Anolis sagrei: one gene and its partners. The protein of the gene in region 1 purifies or fractionates together with the protein of each later gene. This does not show direct contact. Links are inferred from orthologs where the notes say so. Each region holds a gene or a part of one and is shown in the gene's direction. Other genes may lie near its edges. The genes, in order: SIRT6, G3BP1 and USP48.

Region 1 (7,292 bases):
TCCGACCGCATCTCTGCCTATGAACCCACCAGGACTTTGAGATCTTCCGGGGAGACCCTGCTCTCGATCCCGCCTGCTTCTCAAGCTCGGCTGGCGGGGACGAGAGATAGGGCCTTCTCGGTGGTGGCTCCTCGGCTGTGGAACGCCCTTCCTACGGACATTAGACTAGCACCATCTCTAATGGTATTCCGCAAAAAAGTGAAGACCTGGCTGTTTGAGCAGGCGTTCCAATAATTAGTGCAATGATTGGTTAATGAACACTGGAATGGAACAATGGACGACGAATCTGGAACATGTTTTTGATGACGAGACGACAGTGAATGGGTATTGTAGTAACTGTTTATTAATTGTGTAATGTGTTAGGTTGTTAACTGTTTCTATACTGTAGCACTGAATTTTTGCTGTTCGTATTTGTTGTGAACCGCTGTGAGTCGCCTTCGGGCTGAGAACAGCGGTATATAAGTAAGGTAAATAAATAAATAATAAATAATAGTTCACCTACATCCAGAGAGCACTGTGGACTCAAACAATGATGGATCTGGACCAAACTTGGCACAAGCACTCAATACGCCCAAATATGAACACAGATGGAGTTTGGGGGAAATAGACCTTGACATTTGGGAGTTGTAGTCACTGGGATTCACAGTTTACCTACAATCAAGGAGCATTCTGAACCCCACAAATGACAGAATCGGGGCAAACTTCCTACACAGAACCCTCATGACCAACAGAAAATACTCAAGGCCATCCAATCCAACTCCCTTCCTCAGGGCAAGAAAACACAATCAAAGTCCTCCTGACAAAGGGCCATACAGCCATAGATATAGATAGATAGAAAGATAGATATGATTCGCACACACACAGATATAGTATCATAGATTTGAAGGGGACCCTTAAAGAAGGACAATGATATGTTGCATGTTCCAGGGTGGGCAAACCAGACACTCTCCACATCAACACTGACAAAGAAACAATAAGAAATACTGTTTACCCACAAGCATAAAGAAATTACATATATTAGAAACCAACACTTTCTCATTACTTTTTTTTCCAGATCAACAGACTGGGCCACAGCAACGCGTGGCAGGGGACAGCTAGTATAATATATAATAATACTGCAACGTAGCAATACTAATATGTTAAATATAATTACTACTCATAATATACAATACTGTTTTATTTTTGTATATTTGTAGATTTGAAGTTGTAATGTTTTGATTGTGAGCAGCTTTGATTCTCCGTATGGAGAGATAAAGCGGGATATAAATAAATAAAATAAAAATATTATTAGTAACATTACATGTTACATATAATATACAATTACCTGTCCGAACGTATCTCCTGCTATGAACCATCATGAAGCTTAAGATCATCAGAAGAGGCCCTGCTCTCAATCCCACCACTCTCGCAAACGCGGTTGGTGGGGACGAGAGACAGGGCCTTCTTAGCAGTGGGCCCCCGTCTGTGGAACTCTCTCCCTAAGGACATCAGGTTGGCCACCTCCCTCCTGTCCTTTAGAAGACAACTGAAGACCTGGCTCTGGGGCCAGGCGTTCGATTAGAGGCCAGCGGCAATAGGAAAAGGAAATTTGGATTTTGTGACATGGATTCCCCTGGCTTGGCTTGGTTTTTACTGACACGTTAATCTATTAATTTATTGTTAAATCTTACTGGTGATGTACAACGTTTTAAAATGATTTTATTGTGAATTGTAATTTTATGGTATTTATGCTGTTAGCATCCTCTGATGCTCATGTGAGGCCGCACTGAGTTCCCCTTGTGAGGAGAAGGGCGGGATATAAATATTTTAAATAAATAAATATTATATATAGACCAATCTCCCTGCTGTGCCACCTCTACAAAGTTCCGGAGAGACTTATTCTGCATAGAATTATGGAAAAAATAGACCCATGTCTGATTCCACAGCAAGCTGGCTTCAGGAAAGGCAAAAGCTGCACATCGCAAGTGCTGAACCTGACTCAGCACATAGAAGATGGCTTTGAAAAGCAGCAGATCACAGGAGCTGTCTTCATAGACCTGTCAGCGGCTTATTATACTGTGAACCACCACCTTCTCCTGAGAAAAATGTATAATATCACAAAGGACTACCACCTCACCCGTCTCATAGGAAACCTGCTACAAAACAGGAGCTTTTTTGTTGAGTTCCAGGGCCAGAGAAGCAGATGGCGGAAACAGAAGAACGGCTTGCCTCAGGGGAGCATGCTCGCTCCATCCATGTTCAAAATCTACACAAATGACCAGCCACTGCCAGAAGGGACAGAGAGTTTCATCTCTGCTGATGATCGTGCCATCACCGCCCAAGCAGGGAGCTTTGAGATGGTTGAACAGAAGCTCTCCGAAGCTCTAGGTGCTCTAACTGCCTATTACAGGGAAAACCAGCTGATTCCCAATCCATCTAAAACACAGACATGTGCCTTTCACCTTAAGAACAGACAAGCATCCCGAGCTCTGGGGATTACCTGGGAAGAAATCCCACTGGAGCATTGCAGCGCACCCAAATACCTGGGAGTCACTCTGGACCGTTCTCTGACCTACAAGAAGCACTGCCTGAACATCAAACAAAAAGTGGGTGCTAGAAACAATATCATATGAAAGCTGACTGGCACAACCTGGGGATCACAACCAGATACAGTGAAGACATCTGCCCTTGCGCTATGCTACTCTGCTGCTGAGTACGCATGCCCAGTGTGGAACACATCTCACCACACTAAAACAGTGGATGTGGCTCTTAATGAGACATGCCGCATTATCACAGGGTGTCTGCGCCCTACACCACTGGAGAAATTACACTGCTTAGCCGGTATTGCACCACCTGACATCCGCCGGGAAGTTGCAGCCAATAGTGAAAGGACCAAGGCAGAGACATCTCCAGCTCATCCCTTGTTTGGGTATCAGCCAGCACGTCAATGACTTAAATCAAGAAATAGTTTTCTTAGATCTACAGAGACACTCGCTGGAACACCTCAGCAAACGAGAGTTCAAAAGTGGTAGGCTCAAACCCAGCACCTCAATCCGTGGGTGATACCAGATGAGAGACTCCCCCCTGGGCACTCAGAAGACTGGGCGACTTGGAAGGCGCTGAACAGACTGCGCTCTGGCACCACGAGATGCAGAGTCAATCTTAAAAAATGGGGCTACAAAGTTGAATCCACGACATGCGAGTGTGGAAAAGAGCAAACCACTGATCACCTGCTGCAATGCAACCTGAGCCCTGCCACATGCACAATGGAGGACCTTCTTGCGGCAACACCAGAGGCACTCCAAGTGGCCAGATACTGGTCAAAGGACATTTAATCAGCTACCAAGTTTGCAAAATTTGTGTGTTTTTTAATCTGTTTGTTTGTTTTGTTCTGTTAGAATTGTAATACAATGTTCTGGTTGCGGATGACACGATAAATAATATATATATATATATATATATATATGTATGTATATTACATTGTACTATATTATTATACCACAATATATCTAATACACTATCAGTATATTATACTTTTAGTATTATATTATATATTGCACTCTATCATCAGTTCATTTATTTATTTACGACAATTATATGCCACCCTTCTCACCCCAAAGGAATTCAGAGGCTTACAAGAGATATATATATATATATATATATATACACACACACACACAATATATTATATTATTAGTATAGTACAATATCATTATTAAATATTACTATGTTGTACTGTAACATTATATTGTACTATTATTAGTAATATTACATGTAGTATAAATATATGATTATAAGATATTATTAGTAGTATTGTATTATATATATAAAAACATTTTTAATATTATATATAAGATATTAGTATTTTTACATTGCAATGTTACTAAAGAGGCCTGAGAGAGGCTGCTTTGCCTTACCTGCCTCCTCCAGCTCCAGGCGTCGCAGCCTTTGTGCGTCACGCCTCCCCCTCCCTTCCTCTTCCCTCAGGCCCCGCCTTCTTTTGTCACCTAGGCTTGCCTTCTTTTTTCTTCCGCCGTCTTTCTTGAGGGCACCTTCTCCTCTCTCACGCTGATTATTTCAAATCTTTGCGGCACAAAACCAGGCCAAAGTGTTTCTGCGACTCCGACTCGCTCCTTCCCGCCCGCTTTCCTCCTTCGAGCGAGACTGGAGGGAGGAAAAAAAAGGAGAAGCTTGCCCCTAGTTAAGATGGCTAGTGAAGCTTCGGGTTTTTGCCTCTTGCGCCTGCGCAGTTGTCGATTTCCCTGACCAAATCCAAGATGGCAGGGGAAGTTGCCTTTCGTTCAGGTTACTCCTGTAGCTTCGAGTTTGTTCCTCTTCCTCTAGTCGTCGCTTTCCTTGACCAAATCCAAGATGGCGGGGGATTTCTTTCTGTGAAGAGGTTGCGGCTGTTCGAAGGGAATATTTCCGGCTTCTCCGACCGGAAATGAACAGGAAAGGCTTGGGGAAGCTTGACTGAGAAGAAAAAAGAGAAAGAGTGGGAAGAGGAGGGAAAGATGTCGGTTGATTACGCGGCGGGCCTGTCGCCGTACGCGGACAAAGGCCTGTGCGGCCTACCGGAGGTGAGTGAAAGTAGCCCCCCCGTGGGGTTGCCATGGAAACACTCCATTGGAAAGACATCTGGCTCGCTGCCTGGGAGGTCTAGTAGTCCATATTGGAATATTCAACTTATTATATACATATATTGTAAATATTATAAATGTGCATATATAGCTTAAACAATAATCTATATAAATAAAAATGGAATGTTCGTTTGCGGGATTAACAGAACTCAAAAACCACTGGACGAATTGACACCAAATTTGGACACAAGACACCTAACAACCCAATGTATGTCCTTCACTCAAAAAAATTGCTTTTGTCATTTGGGAATTGTAGTTGCTGGGATTTATAGTTCACCTACAATCAAAGAGCATTCTGAACCCCACTAATGATGGAATTGAACCAAACTTGGCACATACTTCTCCCATGACCAACAGAAAATACTGGAAGGATTTGGTGGGCAGTGTCCTTTGGTTTTGGAGTTGTAGTTCACCTACATCCAGAGATCACTGTGGACTCAAACAATGATGGATCTGGACCAAACTCTATACGAATACTCAATATGACCAAATGTGAACACTGGTGGAGTTTGGGGAAAATAGAATCATGACATTTGTGAGTTGTAGTTGCTGGGATTTATAGTTCACCTACAATCACAGAGCATTCTGAACCCCACCAACGATAGAATTGGGCCAAACCTCCCACACAGAACCCCCATGACCACCAGAGTGGGCCATAGCAACTCGTGGCAGGGGACGGCTAGGATAGTACAGAGTATTTAAAATATATAATATTAAATTTATTATATATATTGTAAATACAGTATGTATGTTTAGAATATAATAATATTAAATTTATAATATATATAATATAAATACGGACTGTATGTTCAGAATATATATTATAATATTAAATTCATAATATATATTATTAATACTATATGTAATATAAACAATATTATAGTATATACATATATAAGTACAGTTTCTATATAATATATTAAATTTATAATATAGGTTCTATATTTAGCATATAACATATATGAAACAGTGTACATATATATTATATACATATGTTGTATAAATAATATATTTTATGTTACTATGTAACTATAAGAATATGCATTCATAACATAAATATATAATATGGTAATATAATATGTACTATATTCAGTTTTAGTTTATATATAATATAACATAATAGTATATAATAGAATATACACATATCTATGTAATATATTATATAATTATTTGCACTTTTATATTATATATGATATATAATATACACTTTGGTTATATTTATAATATATAATTTTATTTGATTATTATATGTATACAATGTAAAATATAAATTATTCACTTTTATTACATGCTAGCCTGGGGACCTGGTGATGCCGGAGTTATTAAAAGAAGGCATTGCTTGTTTTGGGATATTAGGTAATATCACTTAAGTTTGGTCCAGATCCATCATTGACTGGGTTTGGTGCTCTCTGGATAAGGGAGAACTACAACTCCCAGATTCCCAGGGCAATAATCTCCTAACACAGTTACCTGAATGCAGGTGAAGTACAACTCCCAGATTTCCAAGTCAAATCCACAAACCCTTGCAGTATGTTCAGTTGGTCATGGGCCTTCACTGTGCCAAGTTGGGTCTCTGTCCATTGTCGGCAGGGGTCACTGTTCCTCTGGATGCAGATAAACTACAATTCCCAAAATCAAGGTCCCTGAACTTCTCCAGTATGTTCTGTTGGTCATGGGGAGTCTGTGTGCCTAGTTTGGCCAGGTCTGTCATTCTTGGGGGTCACAGTGGTCTGTTGAAGTTGAAGCTGAATTGGATGAAGGTACTCCAAATCTCATCATCTGTGGTCCATCCTCCCTCAAACTGCACCAGGACCGGAGGGGGGGGGGGTGTCTGTATGCCAAATTTGGTCCAGATCCGTCATTTGTGGGGCTACACCACCACATACATACCCACATACAAACACTGACTTCTCCCCAAACCTCAATAGTATGTACAGTTGCCAATCAGTTCCTCTGTTTGCTGTGTGCCATAGAAAAAGGGTAAGGGAGAGGCATTTGGGGGGGGGGGGTCATGCAAATTCCACACCAGTGGAGAGAGTCAGAAACACTGGGATATCTGTGGTGGAGGAAACACATACAATGTAGGATGGAATTGTCCCTGAATGAAAGCCTTCACTTGGGTGGAGGGCAGTACGGTGTTGGTGGCAGGGCTCTTGAACATGTTCATGGTGCTCACTAACCTGCAGTGTCATTGGAGGGAGGGCCATTGGTGTCTCCTGAGTAGTGGGAGCTATAGCTGTTTGTGGAAGTAGGAGCCTGTCTGTGAAAGTGGACACCCCAGCCACATACACACATACATATTTTCACTTTTATTGTGTGTATAATCTTTGCGTAAAGATATAGATTTCAAGCATTACTTTTTGGGACTACAACTTCTAATGAACAGGAGTCATTGGACCACACTTCTTCATCATGCTGTTCTTGGGTTCCATCTAAAATCAGGCTCTGGGAAAAAGCTGGGAAGTGAGAGACTTTGTTATTATTTGCTTTCAAGTTGTTTCCAGCTTAAGATGGTCACTCACTGCTTCGGAGGATGCATTCCCTCCTTTCCTTAGGCTATATTGACTCCTCAAACCACAACGTTTGGCTCTCTTGTATAGCATTAATTGCATTTTCCCTTTCTTCTCATTTACTGTCCAGTCCTTTGACACTCCAGATGAACTGGAGGAGAAG
Region 2 (7,006 bases), on another chromosome or scaffold:
TGGAGCCCTATTCTTGATCTGCATCTTCTCCCGCAGTGAGGGCATAAGTTTCCAGGTGGAATGAGGTCCCGGTCAGGGTTGGCTTGATGTGCCTTCCTCATGGCATGTTTCTCTCTTTTGCCCTCCATTCATGCCTCTTCAAATTCTACAGCACTGCTGGTCACAGCTGACCTCTAGCTGGAGTGCTCAAGGGCCAGGGCTTCCCAGTTCTCAGTGACTATGCCAGAGTTTTTAAGGTTGGCTTTGAATCTCTTTAAATCTCTTTTTCTGTCCACCAACATTCTGTTTTCCGTTCTTGAGTTCGGAGTAGAGCAATTGCTTTGGGAAATGGTGGTCTGGCATCCAAACAATGTGGCCGGTCCAGCGGAGTTGATGGTGGAGGACCATCGCTTCAATGCTGGTGGTCTTTGCTTCTTCCAGCACGCACTCATTTGCTATCTGACCATTGTTACCATATTACGAACTGGAAGAGCAGGGCTGTAGCAAAAATTAATGGGGAGGGGTGGCTCTTACAGGCCCGGGTGGCTGTAGTGTTCCTCCACTAGAGTACTCTTCCAACTGGCCCTCATTTTCATAGCTTATTATTAAGTTATTATTCCTGTTATTTGCCATTTTGGTCACGTGCTGATATTGCTTGGTCTATGACGGGTCCACAAACTTTTTAAACAGAGGGCCAGGTCACAATCCCTCAAACTGTTGGAGGGCCGGATTATAATTTGAAAAAAACATGAATGAATTCCTATGCACATTACACATATCTTATCTGGAGTGCAAAAAACACTTTAAAACAATACAATAATTAAAATGTGGACAAGATACTTGGAGGAATGAGACCCACCACGTCCATCCTAGACCCCTGCCCATCCTGGCTTCTTAAGGAGGCCAGAGGGGGATTGGCCGAGTGGGTAACGGTGGTGGTTAATGCCTCCCTTCGGGAGGGCAAGATTCCAGCGAGCCTAAAACAGGCTGTTATAAAGCCGCTGTTGAAGAAACCATCACTTGACCCCACTAAATTGGACAACTTTCGGCCTGTTTCCAATCTCCCCTTTTTGGGCAAAGTCATGGAAAGCGTGGTGGCCTCACAACTCCAGGTATTCTTGGGAGACACGGATTATCTGGATCCGGCACAGTCTGGTTTCAGACCGGGACATGGTACCGAGACGGTCTTGGTCGCCTTAGTGGATGATCTGCGCCGGGAGCTAGACAGGGGGAGTGTGTCCCTGTTGGTGCTCCTGGACCTCTCAGCGGCCTTCGATACCGTCGACCACGGTATTCTTCTGGGGCGCCTTGCAGGGATGGGTCTTGGGGGCACTGCTCTGCAGTGGCTCCGGTCATTCCTGGAGGGTCGTACTCAGAAGGTGTTATTGGGGGACTCCTGTTCAACGCCGCAGCCGTTGACCTGTGGCGTTCCTCAGGGATCCATCTTGTCCCCCTTGCTGTTTAACATCTACATGAAGCCGCTGGGTGAGATCATCCGGAGTTTCGGGGTGCGGTGTCACCTGTACGCAGATGACGTCCAACTCTGTCACTCCTTCCCACCTGCTACTAAGGAGGCCGTCGAAGTCCTGAACCGGTGCCTGGCCGCTGTAATGGTCTGGATGAGGGCGAACAAACTGAAATTAAATCCAGACAAGACAGAGGTACTCCTGGTCAGTCGCAAGGCCGAACAGGGTATAGGGTTACAGCCTGTGCTGGACGGGGTCGCACTCCCCTTGAAGGCGCAGGTTCGCAGCTTGGGTGTGACCCTGGACTCATCGCTGAGCCTGGAGCCCCAGGTTTCAGCGGTGACCAGGGGAGCATTTGCACAGCTTAGGCTCGTGCGCCAGCTGCGCCCGTATCTTGGGAAGTCTGACTTGGCCACGGTGGTACACGCTTTGGTCACATCCCGCCTCGACTACTGCAACGCTCTCTACGTGGGGCTGCCCTTGAAGACGGCCCGGAAGCTTCAGCTAGTCCAGCGCGCGGCAGCCATGTTGTTAACGGGAGCTGGACGCAGAGAGCATACAACGCCTCTGCTGTCCCAACTCCACTGGCTGCCGATCTGCTACCGGGCCCAATTTAAGGTGCTGGTGTTATCCTACAAAGCCCTAAACGGTTCCGGCCCAAAATACCTTGCAGACCGCATCTCGGCCTACGAGCCCACGAGGGCCTTGAGATCATCCGGGGAGGCCCTTCTCTCGGTCCCGCCCGCCTCACAGGCACGTCTGGCGGGGACGAGGGAGCGGGCCTTCTTGGTGGTGGCCCCCCGACTGTGGAACACTCTCCCTGCTGAAGTTAGACAGGCGCCCTCCTTGATGGCCTTCCGTAGGGGCCTAAAAACATGGCTCTTCGAGCAGGCCTTCAATTGAGTGTAGTTAAATTGACACTGGAATGAATTAGGACTACGAATTTCGGCTATGACCCCAGGACTTGACGAAGCGGATTTTTAGTATAAGTATATGTTATGTTGTATTTGTCTGGTTTGTATCGTCTTGACTCACTGTACACTGTCTTCTTTGTTGTTGTTCACCGCCCCGAGTCGCCCCCGGGCTGAGAGGGGCGGTCAATAAATGCAAGAAATAAATAAATAAATAAATAAATAAAATGAAGAACAGTTTTAATAAATATAAGCTTATTAGTATTTCAATGGGAAGTGTGGGCCTGCTTTTGGCTGATGAAATAGGGTTGTTGTTGTTGTTGTTGTGTGCTTTCAAGTCATTTCAGACTTAGGTTGACCCTGAGTGAGGGCCGGGTAAATGACCACAAAGGGCCGCATCCAGCCCCCGGGCCTTAGTTTGAGGACCCCTGGTCTATGACATGTTGGTGGGCATGTGCATATGTTACCTAAATACCCTAAGGCACTGGATCCCATTAGATCTTGGTAGCTAAGCAGGGTCATCTTTGGTGATGGGAGGCGACCAGTGCCTTGAATGCACATACATGAACATATGTGCATGCTGCCACAAGAAAACCCCTCAAGGTCCAGTGTATACAAGGTTCACTCAAATCCAGGGGACTCCTTGGCTCGTTTGTTCTCAAATACAGTGCACTCTCAGTTAACCAGAACGCAGGCAAACGGTGGTACTCACGAGTAAACAGCAAAAGAGAAATCGAAGGAATAATTCTTTGAATAAAAATTAAAATAAAATCAGATTAGCAGAAACGTGTAAACTTGGCATGCCTGTTGCAATTCGACGCTTGTTAGTAAAGTTCATTAAGTTGAGAAGTTTTTTGACTGCCATTTAACTAAAATTGCGTGCTGGAGTCACAAAGCTGTTTGCACAATAGGTGTTAAAACTGTCTTAGTTTGCTTTAAATTTCTGTATTTGATGCAATACCAAATCAATACAGAGTGTATGGTATGGCACAGCATGGGACATAGTATTAATGTGGATTATAATGAGTTCCAGGCACTCATTCGGTGATTGAAGAGACTACCCAGAGCAAGGCGAGGACGCGCACGCAGCCTCTCCCGCTGCTCGGAAGCGGCAGAATATTTTCAACGCCTTTCCCTTTAAGAAACGCCACTCCGTCTCCTGTCAATCACGGGATAACACCTTTGGCAATTGGGCCCGGCGACCGGCGCTCGTCTTCAGCCCGCCTCTCCTCGCACGGGGTTTCCAGTCCTCGATTCCTAGGGTTCCCACTGTGCAGCGCACCTATCCTTGGCGGGCAGCGTGGCCACGCCCCCGCGGGTTCTCACTCCTAATAACGCGGGGAGCGTCGTCTCATTGGTGTTTGCCAGATCCGTCGACTCCTGACTCTGCCTTAATAGGTCTGCGCTCCACACCTATTGGCTAGAACACCTGTCTGTCAGAGAAACCGGCTTCACGTTATCCGCAGCCAGATTCGTCGATCCAGTTGCCTTTCCGAACGCGGCCTGCCCCTTCTTCCTCCAGCTGGCCTATCAGCTTCCGAGCTGGGGAGAGGGCCGGCTTCTGACTGGTTGCGAGCGTGCCACAGGGTTAGGTTACGCGCGAGGTATATTTAGCCGGCGGTAGAGCACGCTGTTGCGTGAGGTGCTTCCCGTCTCCTTCGGCTCGCCCGCTTGTCTGCCTCGCACGGAGTGAAACCTCCTCCTTCTCGCCGCCCATCTCCGCCTCGCCCGCAGGTTGGTGCGAGAGGGGGAAAGCCGTTGGGTCACGTCCTTCACGAGCCGGCGAGCGGCGCGCCTTTGTCGTCACCGTCGCCATAGACACGCGGGCTCCGCGCGGCCTTTCCTGACTGGGGGGCGCCGGGCGAAACCATTACACATTGGGGGAGAGGGGGGTTGACGAGCACATTGAGTGGGCCTTTGGCTCTGGCGTTGAGGAGGCGATGCTCCCCCTTCCCCCCTCGGCAGCGAGGGAAGAGGTTCTGCCCGGGATAAGGGGTGGCAGAGCGGCCAAAAAAGGAGCGGGCCGCGTTGCGTATCTGAAGCCGCGCCGTTACTAAGCGAGCTGAGGTCTATTAACAGGAATTCGTGAGGCCCAAGAGGAGAGTTCCATTCAGGATTCTGGAAAGGGGGTGGCGGGAGTGACTGAGGATCCCAATCTGGCCCAGATCGAGTGCTTCCCCCCCCTCCTCGAGGACCTCTGAATAGCGGAGGGCCCGAATCGTGACTGAAAACCTGGAAGGGCCTGGCTTGTGGGCTCCTCTCGCGCCTTTGGGGGAAACCGCCCCGCCAAAGGCTTCCTAAAAAGGGGCGGAAATCGGGGGAGGTGTAACAGACGCCTCGCCTCCCCCTTCCAACCATTCACCTTAACAGAAACCGCTGCAATCCGGAGGACAATAGTGGCGAGGGAAGGAAACCTTGGCAAAGGAGGCAGGGCCGCAAAGCGGGTTCATTGCCGCCTCGTTGTGTGAGAGCGGCAAGCTTTTGTCCCTTCCCTTGGGCGGTCCAGCGTTGGCTTCTTTTCTTTCGTTGGCCTCGGATTGTACCCAATGTCGGGGTTTCCTTGGCTTTGTTCTAGCAGTATAGCCAGCAGAAAATCAAACCCTTTTGCTTCAGAGATGGATTGTTAGTATTTTAAAATACAGAATAGATCCCCGCAAAACTAGACCAAAGCGTGTCTGTACCAGTGAGGACATTTGTCAAGGTCAGGCTTAGCAGTAATAAGAGGTCGATGCACATATTTTCTATCTTTTCCTTAACTAAGTTGGACACTTGAGTACCCTTGGAAAGATTGTTCAGTGTGTGTGTTAGTTTGAGCATGAAAATCTGTAGTGAAATTGGTGTTCATCACACGCAGATATATATACTTACACCGTGTCAGGTGGCAGCATCATAATCTACTGCAGGGTATTTGTAGCAAGGGGCAGTGCTTCCAGTCTGTGCTATTTTTATCCTCTTTTTTTCACAGGCATGGCACAAGGTTAGGAACTGCAGGCAGACCTACTGAAGTTTGCAGATAGGTGTTCCCTATTCTGTGAACTGCTACTTTAGGGTCATGTGAAAGGCTGTGGTCAATCATCGATGGAAGAGTCATGCTATTTAGTTAAAGAGCTTTATATATGTGTGTATTTCTTTAAAATGGAGGATATCTTATGTTTAAATTATATTGAAGTTCTTTGAGAAGTGTAGTGTTAAAGATTGACATGATAGTGCATTGTTTGTCTCTTCTAAGCACTTTACAGGCTTGTATTGTGTTTTAATATTGAGCCCTTAACAGTGATTGAATTGTCTTTTGCTTGCATATAAGCAAAGTGGATGGGGTTATAATAAACATCATCTGGACCAGTTATATTATTTTTGCTGTCCATACTTTCTAGCATTTCTCAGAGTAAGAAATGCCTATAGTTGGAACTCTGTTTTTATAAAGGGAATACTACAATCTTGTTTCTCATTAATTTATTGAAAATAAAAATAAAGTATGTGATCAGAAGGAATTAAGAAAATAAAGATGGTTAATTGTGTATTTTCCCTTATGATGTAGTTTCACTTATGATGTAGATTCAGGAGCACCTCATGAGTTACATAGGACTATTTTCACTTGGAATTCTCACCTCCTCCCTTCCCAGAAACTGAAAAAGCACATGGATAATATAAAAAAGTTAAGGAACAAAGAGCACTTTCTACAAAGCTGCATGTGGTCAAGCAGTCCTCTAGAAATACTCATTTTTTGTCATTATTGTTTGGACAAAGTCATATTTAAGTGAGCTCTACAGCACTATACTTTTCCAGTATTGGGATTCCTATAGCTTAGACTCCCACTCCCCCAGTAGCTCATATTAATAGAATATGACAATTGTAGTATAACAATACCTTTGGAATGGTTAATTCAAACTTAAGTGAATCTTGAATTTTTAAGAACGGTGGAATGTAGTGATTAAAAGTCATATTAGGCATTTATTAATTGGCTTGGAATTATTTTTCCTCTTGGTACAGAAGATGTATGCTTTCAAATTTTTGATGCTGCAGAGTTGCTCAGTATAATGTATTTTTCAGTTGCAACTTTTGAGGCTTCCTTTCCCTCAGTGAGTTCTTATGTAATTAGTGGAAATATAATGTAATAGCAATCCCATAAAGGTCAGAGCTCAGGGGTCAGTCTGTGGCAGAGGAGCCACAACTTTCCAGCCCCTGCCAGATGTATGTCAGTGCAGAATGAGCTGTGTGTGTGTGTGTGTGTGTGTGTGTATATATATAGAGCAATTTTCACTCTCTTCTTGCCTTTTTCCTCCATTAGTTTCAACAGGAAGTAAAATGACAGCTTATTTCCAGCCAATACAGCATTTATGTATCCATTTTGATCATGTGCCCCAGAAATGAAGATACTGGATGCAGAGCTTTCCTGGATTAGTCCTGCAGTACTCCTCCCTCACTATTAATTTATATTCTACCTTACTCCCAATAATAAAACTGAAAGTGGCTAACATATTTAAAACGATAAAGATTAAAAACCATATAGAGACTGTAAAGAAAAGTATTACTCGGTTATTTAAAAACAGTCAAACAATTTTTATTTAAAGCATTGGAATTCAAAAAATGCATAAAATGCAACACACATCTACCCTAGTCATTTTCTAAAAGTCTGACATTATAAAAATG
Region 3 (7,016 bases), on another chromosome or scaffold:
GTGTGCCAAGTGTGGTCTGTATTGGTAATGTTCTGACTCGGCCCCCTCTGGCCTTTTCCTTTCCTCTCTTTGTCATCTCGGAATCTTGGAATTGAGGCTGGCCAATCAGAGACCATATGCAAATCTCCTTCTCTCATGTCTCCGTTTCTGTCATGAACCCTTTTCTCCACCAGGGGCTCCTGTAAAGCTGGCCAATCCGAGACCATATGCAAATAGCACCACAGTGGCAGCCAATCAGAATCTTGGAACTTTCAGGCTGGCCAATCAGAATGTTGGCACATACACTGCCACACCGCCACACTTTTGTCCTCCGCATACAAACTTTGACTTTTATTATATACATAGATAGATAGAGATAGATATAGATTACTAAACTCTGAGTACCATATACAAACTCTGACATAGAAATGTGACATTTCACACATTAGTATTCAAGGCAAAGACATTGCATTTGAACTATCTAGAGACAGCACACTTAAAACTCATCAAAGGGTCTAATAGTGGCTCATGGAGTCTGGTCTAAAATGGAGTCTGAGCTCAGATTAGTCCCAGATCCGATCATCCCTCAACCTCAAGACACATATAGGGAAAGCTGCATGTCAAAACATACATATACAATACAGTAAGCAAACAGAATCATATACAAACAAATTACTAGAGGAGGCCATTTCCTACAGCGATGATGCCCCTTTTCCCCTTTCTGCAGGCGGTGCCCCCGACCCGCAAGCACTGACGGCTGGCAAATACACCTCGGGGATCTCGGGGTGCGTCAAGAATGTGTTGCTGCGCAACGAGAGGCCCGGCCATCAGCTGCAGGCGCCGGTCGACCTCCATCACCAGGCGGAGGCCGGCGTCAACGTCCAGGAGTGCCCCTCGTAATGGGGGGCACCACCACCGCCACTCTCCGGGATGCCTTTTATGATTATTATTATTGTTATTATTATTTTTCCAACTGAGAGGACTTCTATTATTATTATTTTATGATGATGATTTTTTTAACAGAGAGAATCACACAAAAAGGTGCTTTGCTGCTACCAAAAAAAATACGGGGGGAGGCGGGGGGGTGTGTGTTTTGTGTCTACGGCCAACACGAGGAGATGAGCGTCCGAAGAGGGCTTTGATGCGCTCCCTCCATCCAGAGGGAGGAATCGGGAGCGTCCTGGGTTAGTAGCCGAACCTCCCTTCGCTCTGCCATTAGTTTCCTGGACTCCGGAGAGGCTTCCCAAGCAAAGCCGCAAGCTTGTTCCGGCGCCCCGGAGGGCTAACCACTGCCTTGACGCTTCCCCAACTCCTCCGCCAGTGCCTTACGAGGAAGAAGATAGGCGCACAGGGCTTCTTTGGCCGCACTCTTACGGCTCGCGCTGCGCCGGACAAGGCCATCCGCGGACTCTTCCCCTTCGCCGATCCCCTTTGGTCTGGTCTGCACTGAGTGAGGGCTCGCCTTGACCTTCCTCTCCTCCCGCTTCAGCCAAAGAGCAGGACGGCGGTTCCAAAGATGCCCGAAGAAAGCCTTCTCCAACGAACCGTCATGCCAGTCTCTGGCTCGTTTGGACTCGGACCACGAGCCTCCGTCGGCTTCTCCGGCTTCCTTTCGAGAGTCAGAAGCCGCCTCCGCCGCTGCCGCACTGCCCTTATCCCTCGTCCCCGGCCCCCCTTTTATTCGTATTCTCTTTTCTTAAATAAATGGTGCTGAACCCCAAGAGCTGGGGACGTGTCCGAGCCTCCTTCTCCGAGTCCTTTGCTTCTTCCTAAATCCAGACAGCGCTTCCTGGATAACCTCTCGCGGGAAATGATCTATCCCTGAACCGCTGCGCTCTGGATCGCAAGTGCCCTTTCACAGCTAAAACTCCCTTCAGTTGTGTGACCACATGTCCATTAGAACGGTATTTTCCACCCAGTTTTACACAATGAGTTTACAGTCAAGACATTCCTGTCTAGTAGTGATTTATAGGTTCCAAATCACAACTTCCCCAAACTACTGCTAGCTGGATAGCAAGTCCCAGAAACAAGCAAAAATATAGCAGAGTCCTTTCACAACACAACCGTGCTACAGCCTGTCAAAGCTCCCTGCTTCGGCAGTGATGGCACGATAGTCAGCTAGATGAAACCCTATATATATACACGGTTATATTGTGTATATGTGTGTGTGTATATTTGTGTGTTTATATGTGAACATCCCTGTCCCGACTTAAAAGACAATTGAGTCCAAAGACTCAATAAATTGAGTCTGAGAGGAACAAAAAGCATATATATATATAGCAAATAAATAATATATAATATATATTATAATATATAATATAGTAAACAAATAATATATAATGTGTAATAATTTAGCAAATAAATAATATATTATAAAATATAGTAAATAAATATATAATTTAGCAAATAAATAATGTATAATAATATAGTAAATAAATAATTTATAATATAGTAAATAAATAATACACAATAATTTAGCAAATAAATAAGGTATAATAATATAGTAAATAATATATCATAATATTGCAAATAAATAATATATAATAACATATAAAGACATATAATAATATAGTAAATAATTGTATTTAAAATGCAAAATTTTATATTACAAATCACATTATTTATATTTTCTCATGTCATAGTATATTATTTATACTTATTTTACTGTGCAATTTAATATGATGCCAAACAAAATTGACATGAAATACACTAAATATTAATATATGGCATAATACAAATAATGTCATTTTAAATATATTCCGCTTTAGAAAAATATTAGTATTATTATTACTAATTATTATTATTATTATTAGTATAATTAATTATTATTTAATACGAGGGAAAGTTTGCGACTAGTTGCGCATGCGTGGCAAAAAAAGGGCACTCCAAGCAGTGCGCATGCGCCTAGCATTCCCCCCTCCGACCTTTTGTGGGCGGAGTAGAGCAGGCGGGAGAGAGAAGGACTCCGCCCCCTTTGGGCCGAACGGACCAATCCGCTTCGGGCAGTGACGTCATGATATGAAGTTAGAAGTGAGGGGCGGGGCAAATGAGCACACCAACCAATCGGCTTCGAGTCGCGACGTCGGGGCGTGGCCTAAGAAGCACGAAATAAGGGGCGGGGCCGGTGCGCATGAGTTGTGACGTCAGACGTAACCCGTCGGAGCTTGGCCTATGTCGCCTCCGGGGTACAAATGGGCCAATCAGATTCGACGTACACAATAAGGGGCGTGGCTTACGTAGCGCGGGCAAACGCCCTTTGCGCAGAAGGAACCAATCCGCGTCTGGCGTTACCCATTCGGGGCGTGGCCTATGCAGATCTCTAACGGCCTTTGCGCTTCAATTCGTGACGAAAAGGGGCGTGGCCTATAGAGAGAGTGCGCCGAATGGACCAATCCGCTTCAAGTCGTGACGGAAAAGGGCGTGGCTTATAGAGAGAGTGCGCCGAGTGGACCAATCCGCTTCAAGTCGTCACGAAAAGGGGCGTGGCTTATAGAGAGAGTGCGCCGAGTGGACCAATCCGCTTCAAGTCGTGACGAAAAGGGGCGTGGCCTATGGAGCGAGTGAGCCGAATGGACCAATCCGCTTCAAGTCGTGACGAAAATGGGCGTGGCTTATACAGAGAGTGCGCCGAATGGACCAATCCGCTTCAAGTCGTGACGAAAAAGGGCGTGGCTTATAGAAAGAGTGCGCAGAATAAACCAATCCGCTTCAAGTTATGACGAAAAAGGGCGTGGCTTATAGAGAGTGCGCCGAGTGGACCAATCCGCTTCAAGTCGTCGCGAAAAGGGGCGTGGCTTATAGAGAGAGTGCGCCGAGTGGACCAATCCGCTTCAAGTCGTGGCGACAGGGGCGTGGCCTGGAGAGAGAGTGCACCGAATGGACCAATCCGCTTCAGGCGTAAACGCGGGGCGTGGTTTATGTAGCGCGCGTGAAGCCTCGTCGAAGGAACCAATCGGCTTCGAGCAGTGACGTCAGGCGCAAGCCATTTTCTGCGCGGAAAGAGCCAATCCGCTTCGCGGGTCGACGTCACTCCGTGTACGGCGGGCGAGGAGGGCCGCTTTTCTTCCTGGCTTCCGTTTCCGGCTGGCGGGGCTTCCGGCGTCGAGGGGTGAGGGGATGGCTCCGCGGCTGCAGCTGGAGAAGGCGGCCTGGCGCTGGGCCGAGGAGGTGCCCCCGGAGGCCGTGACCCAGGAGCACGTCGAGGCCGCCTACCGCGTCGCCCTCCCGGCCTGCCTCCGCGCCGCCTGCCGGTGAGTCCCTCAGTCCGCGAGGGAAAGAGGCCGGCCTGCCTGCCTGCCTGCCCCGTAGGCCTCAAGGCCGGGCCCACGCCTGCCCTCCAGGCCTCGCTTGGCCACTCCTCCATCGCCCTGAGGATGTCCCTTTGTGCCCTCATCACCACCATCACCATCAGTACATTGTGATTGTTGCTATTAATAAGTGCATCATTATTACTATATATTATGAGGATGGTTGTTAATGATTTATATATATTATATATATATATATATATATTGTGTTTGTATGTGTGTATATGTGTATATTGCCTTCGACAATATATGTGTAGATATATTTGTGTATCACAATAATATAATACAATGTTTGTGTGTGTATATATATGTGGGTGTGTAAGTGTGTATATATTTGTGTGTATATGTGTATTTGTGTGTGTATATATGTGGGTGTATATGTGTGTAAGTGTGTATATATTTGTGTGTATATGTGTATTTGTGTGTGTATATATGTATGTGTATGTGTGTAAGTGTGTATATATTTGTGTGTATATGTGTATTTGTGTGTGTATATATGTATTTGTATGTGTATGTGTGTAAGTGTGTATATATTTGTGTGTATATGTGTATTTGTGTGTGTATATATGTGGGTATATATGTGGGTGTGTTTATATATATGTGTGTGTGTGTGTATTTGTGTGTTTATATGTGTACATTCATAATGTACATATGGACCATAATGACAGATCTGTACATGCATATTGTGTATATGTGTATATATATTTGTATATATTTGTGTTTGTGTGTGTATATATATGTATGTTAGTGTGTATATATGTGTGTGTGTATATATTTATGAGTTTATATGTATAAAACAGTGGATGTGTCTGCTGCTGAGTATGCATGCCCACTGTGGAACACATCTCATCATGCTAAAACAGTGGATGTGGCTCTTAATGAGACATGCCGCATCATCACGGGGTGTCTGCACCCTACACCACTGGAGAAATTACACTGCTTAGCCGGTATTGCACCACCTGACATCCGCCGGGAAGTAGCAGCCAATAGTGAAAGAACCAAGGCAGAGACATCTCCAGCTCATCCCCTGTTTGGGTATCAGCCAGCACGTCAACGACTTAAATCTAGAAATAGTTTTCTAAGATCTACAAAGACACTCGCTGGAACACCTTAGCAAGCGAGAGTCCAAAAGTGGCAGGCTCAAACCCAGAACCTCAACCAATGGCTGATACCAGATGAGAGACTCCTCCCTCCCCCCTGGGCACACAGAAGACTGGGTGACTTGGAAGGCGCTAAACAGACTGCGTTCTGGCACCATGAGATGCAGAGCCAATCTTAAGAAATGGGGCTACAGGGTGGAATCCACGACATGCGAGTGTGGAGAAGAGCAAACCACTGACCACCTGCTGCAATGCACAAGGCCACATGCACAAGGGAGGACCTTCTTGCGGCAACACCAGAGGCACTCCAAGGGGCCAGATACTGCTCAAAGGACATTGAATCAACTACCAAACTCACAAATGTTGTATTTTGTCTGTTTGCTGTGTTCTGTTAGAAATGTAATATAAATGACTGGTTGCCCTGGCATGACAAATAAATAAATAAAATAATATGTGTACATGCATATTGTGTGTATGTGCGTGCTTGTCTGTAGGCATATTTGTGTGTATATATGTATGTATGTGGATATGTATATGTGTGTGGATGTTTATATGTATATATGTATGTATGTGTGTATATGTGTGTTTGTGCATATATATATATATACATACGTGTGTATATGTGTGCATGTGCATATGTATATGAGTATGTGTATATGTTTTTATGGTGTATTTTTTTGGGTTTTATGTCTGTTCCGCACATGTGCTTGTGTGTTAATGGGTGATGGACACCCGAATTGGTGTCAATTCGTCCAGTGGTTTTTGAGTTACGTTAATCCCACAAACGAACATTACATTTTTATTTATATAGATAATGTAATGCAACATGATAATAATAATAAGGTAAAGGTAAAAGGTAGTCCCCTGACATTAAGTCCAGTCATGTCTGACTCTGGGGTGTGGTGCTCATCTCCATTTCTAAGCCGAAGAGCCAGCGTTGTCCGTAGACACCTCCAAGGTCATGTGGCCGGCATGACTGCATGGAGCGCCGTTACCTTCCCGCCGGAGCGGTACCTATTGATCTACTCACATTTGCATGTTTTCGAACTGCTAGGTTGGCAGAAGCTAGGGCTGACAGCGGAAGCTCACGCCGCTCCCCGGAATCGAACCTGCGACCTTTCGATCAACAAGCTTAGCAGCTCAGTGCTTTAACCCACTGCGCCACCGGGGGCTCCAGTTATTATTATTAATATTGTTAATATATATAATTAATATTATAATAATAATACAATAGTATAATTATATATTTAATATTACATGTGGTATTATTAATAATATAGTATAATGGTATAGTACAATATAGTGATATAAAATACTGATATTGTACTATGCTAATAATATAATATATTGTATGTATATATATTTCTCTCCCTCCTTGGCTGTCCTTTATCATCATTATTACATTGTTATTGTTGTTGTTAGTACTATATTATTATATTATTATTATTATATATAATTATATACTATTATGGTTGTTAGTGTTTTATACTTGAGTGTGTGTGTGTGTATATATATATATATTATAGTTTTCTCTCCCTCCTTGGATGTCCTGTTTTTAGCCTTATCTTCATCATTATATTTTTATTGTTGCTATTAGTATTATATTATTGTGGTTGTTAATGTTTTATAC

Evidence for each region.
Region 2: the proteins of SIRT6 (region 1) and G3BP1 purify together in Homo sapiens (affinity purification with mass spectrometry; 3 studies listed by BioGRID and IntAct, with this or other methods). This does not show direct contact. The link is inferred for Anolis sagrei from reciprocal best matches to the Homo sapiens genes SIRT6 and G3BP1.
Region 3: the proteins of SIRT6 (region 1) and USP48 purify together in Homo sapiens (affinity purification with mass spectrometry; 3 studies listed by BioGRID, with this or other methods). This does not show direct contact. The link is inferred for Anolis sagrei from reciprocal best matches to the Homo sapiens genes SIRT6 and USP48.

The regions. Positions count from the first base shown.
Region 1 is NC_090034.1:29,081,364-29,088,655, reverse strand, and holds the start of SIRT6 (NAD-dependent protein deacylase sirtuin-6), read left to right. Parts: upstream 1-4,245; 5' UTR 4,246-4,493; coding exon 4,494-4,559; intron 4,560-7,259; coding exon 7,260-7,292. UniProt on the Homo sapiens protein: NAD-dependent protein deacetylase, deacylase and mono-ADP-ribosyltransferase that plays an essential role in DNA damage repair, telomere maintenance, metabolic homeostasis, inflammation, tumorigenesis and aging.
Region 2 is NC_090022.1:84,248,870-84,255,875, reverse strand, and holds the start of G3BP1 (ras GTPase-activating protein-binding protein 1), read left to right. Parts: upstream 1-3,947; 5' UTR 3,948-4,090; intron 4,091-7,006. UniProt on the Homo sapiens protein: Protein involved in various processes, such as stress granule formation and innate immunity. Plays an essential role in stress granule formation.
Region 3 is NC_090033.1:9,935,911-9,942,926, forward strand, and holds the start of USP48 (ubiquitin carboxyl-terminal hydrolase 48), read left to right. Parts: upstream 1-4,009; 5' UTR 4,010-4,095; coding exon 4,096-4,229; intron 4,230-7,016. Other genes in the region: HSPG2 (basement membrane-specific heparan sulfate proteoglycan core protein), read left to right, coding at 707-879.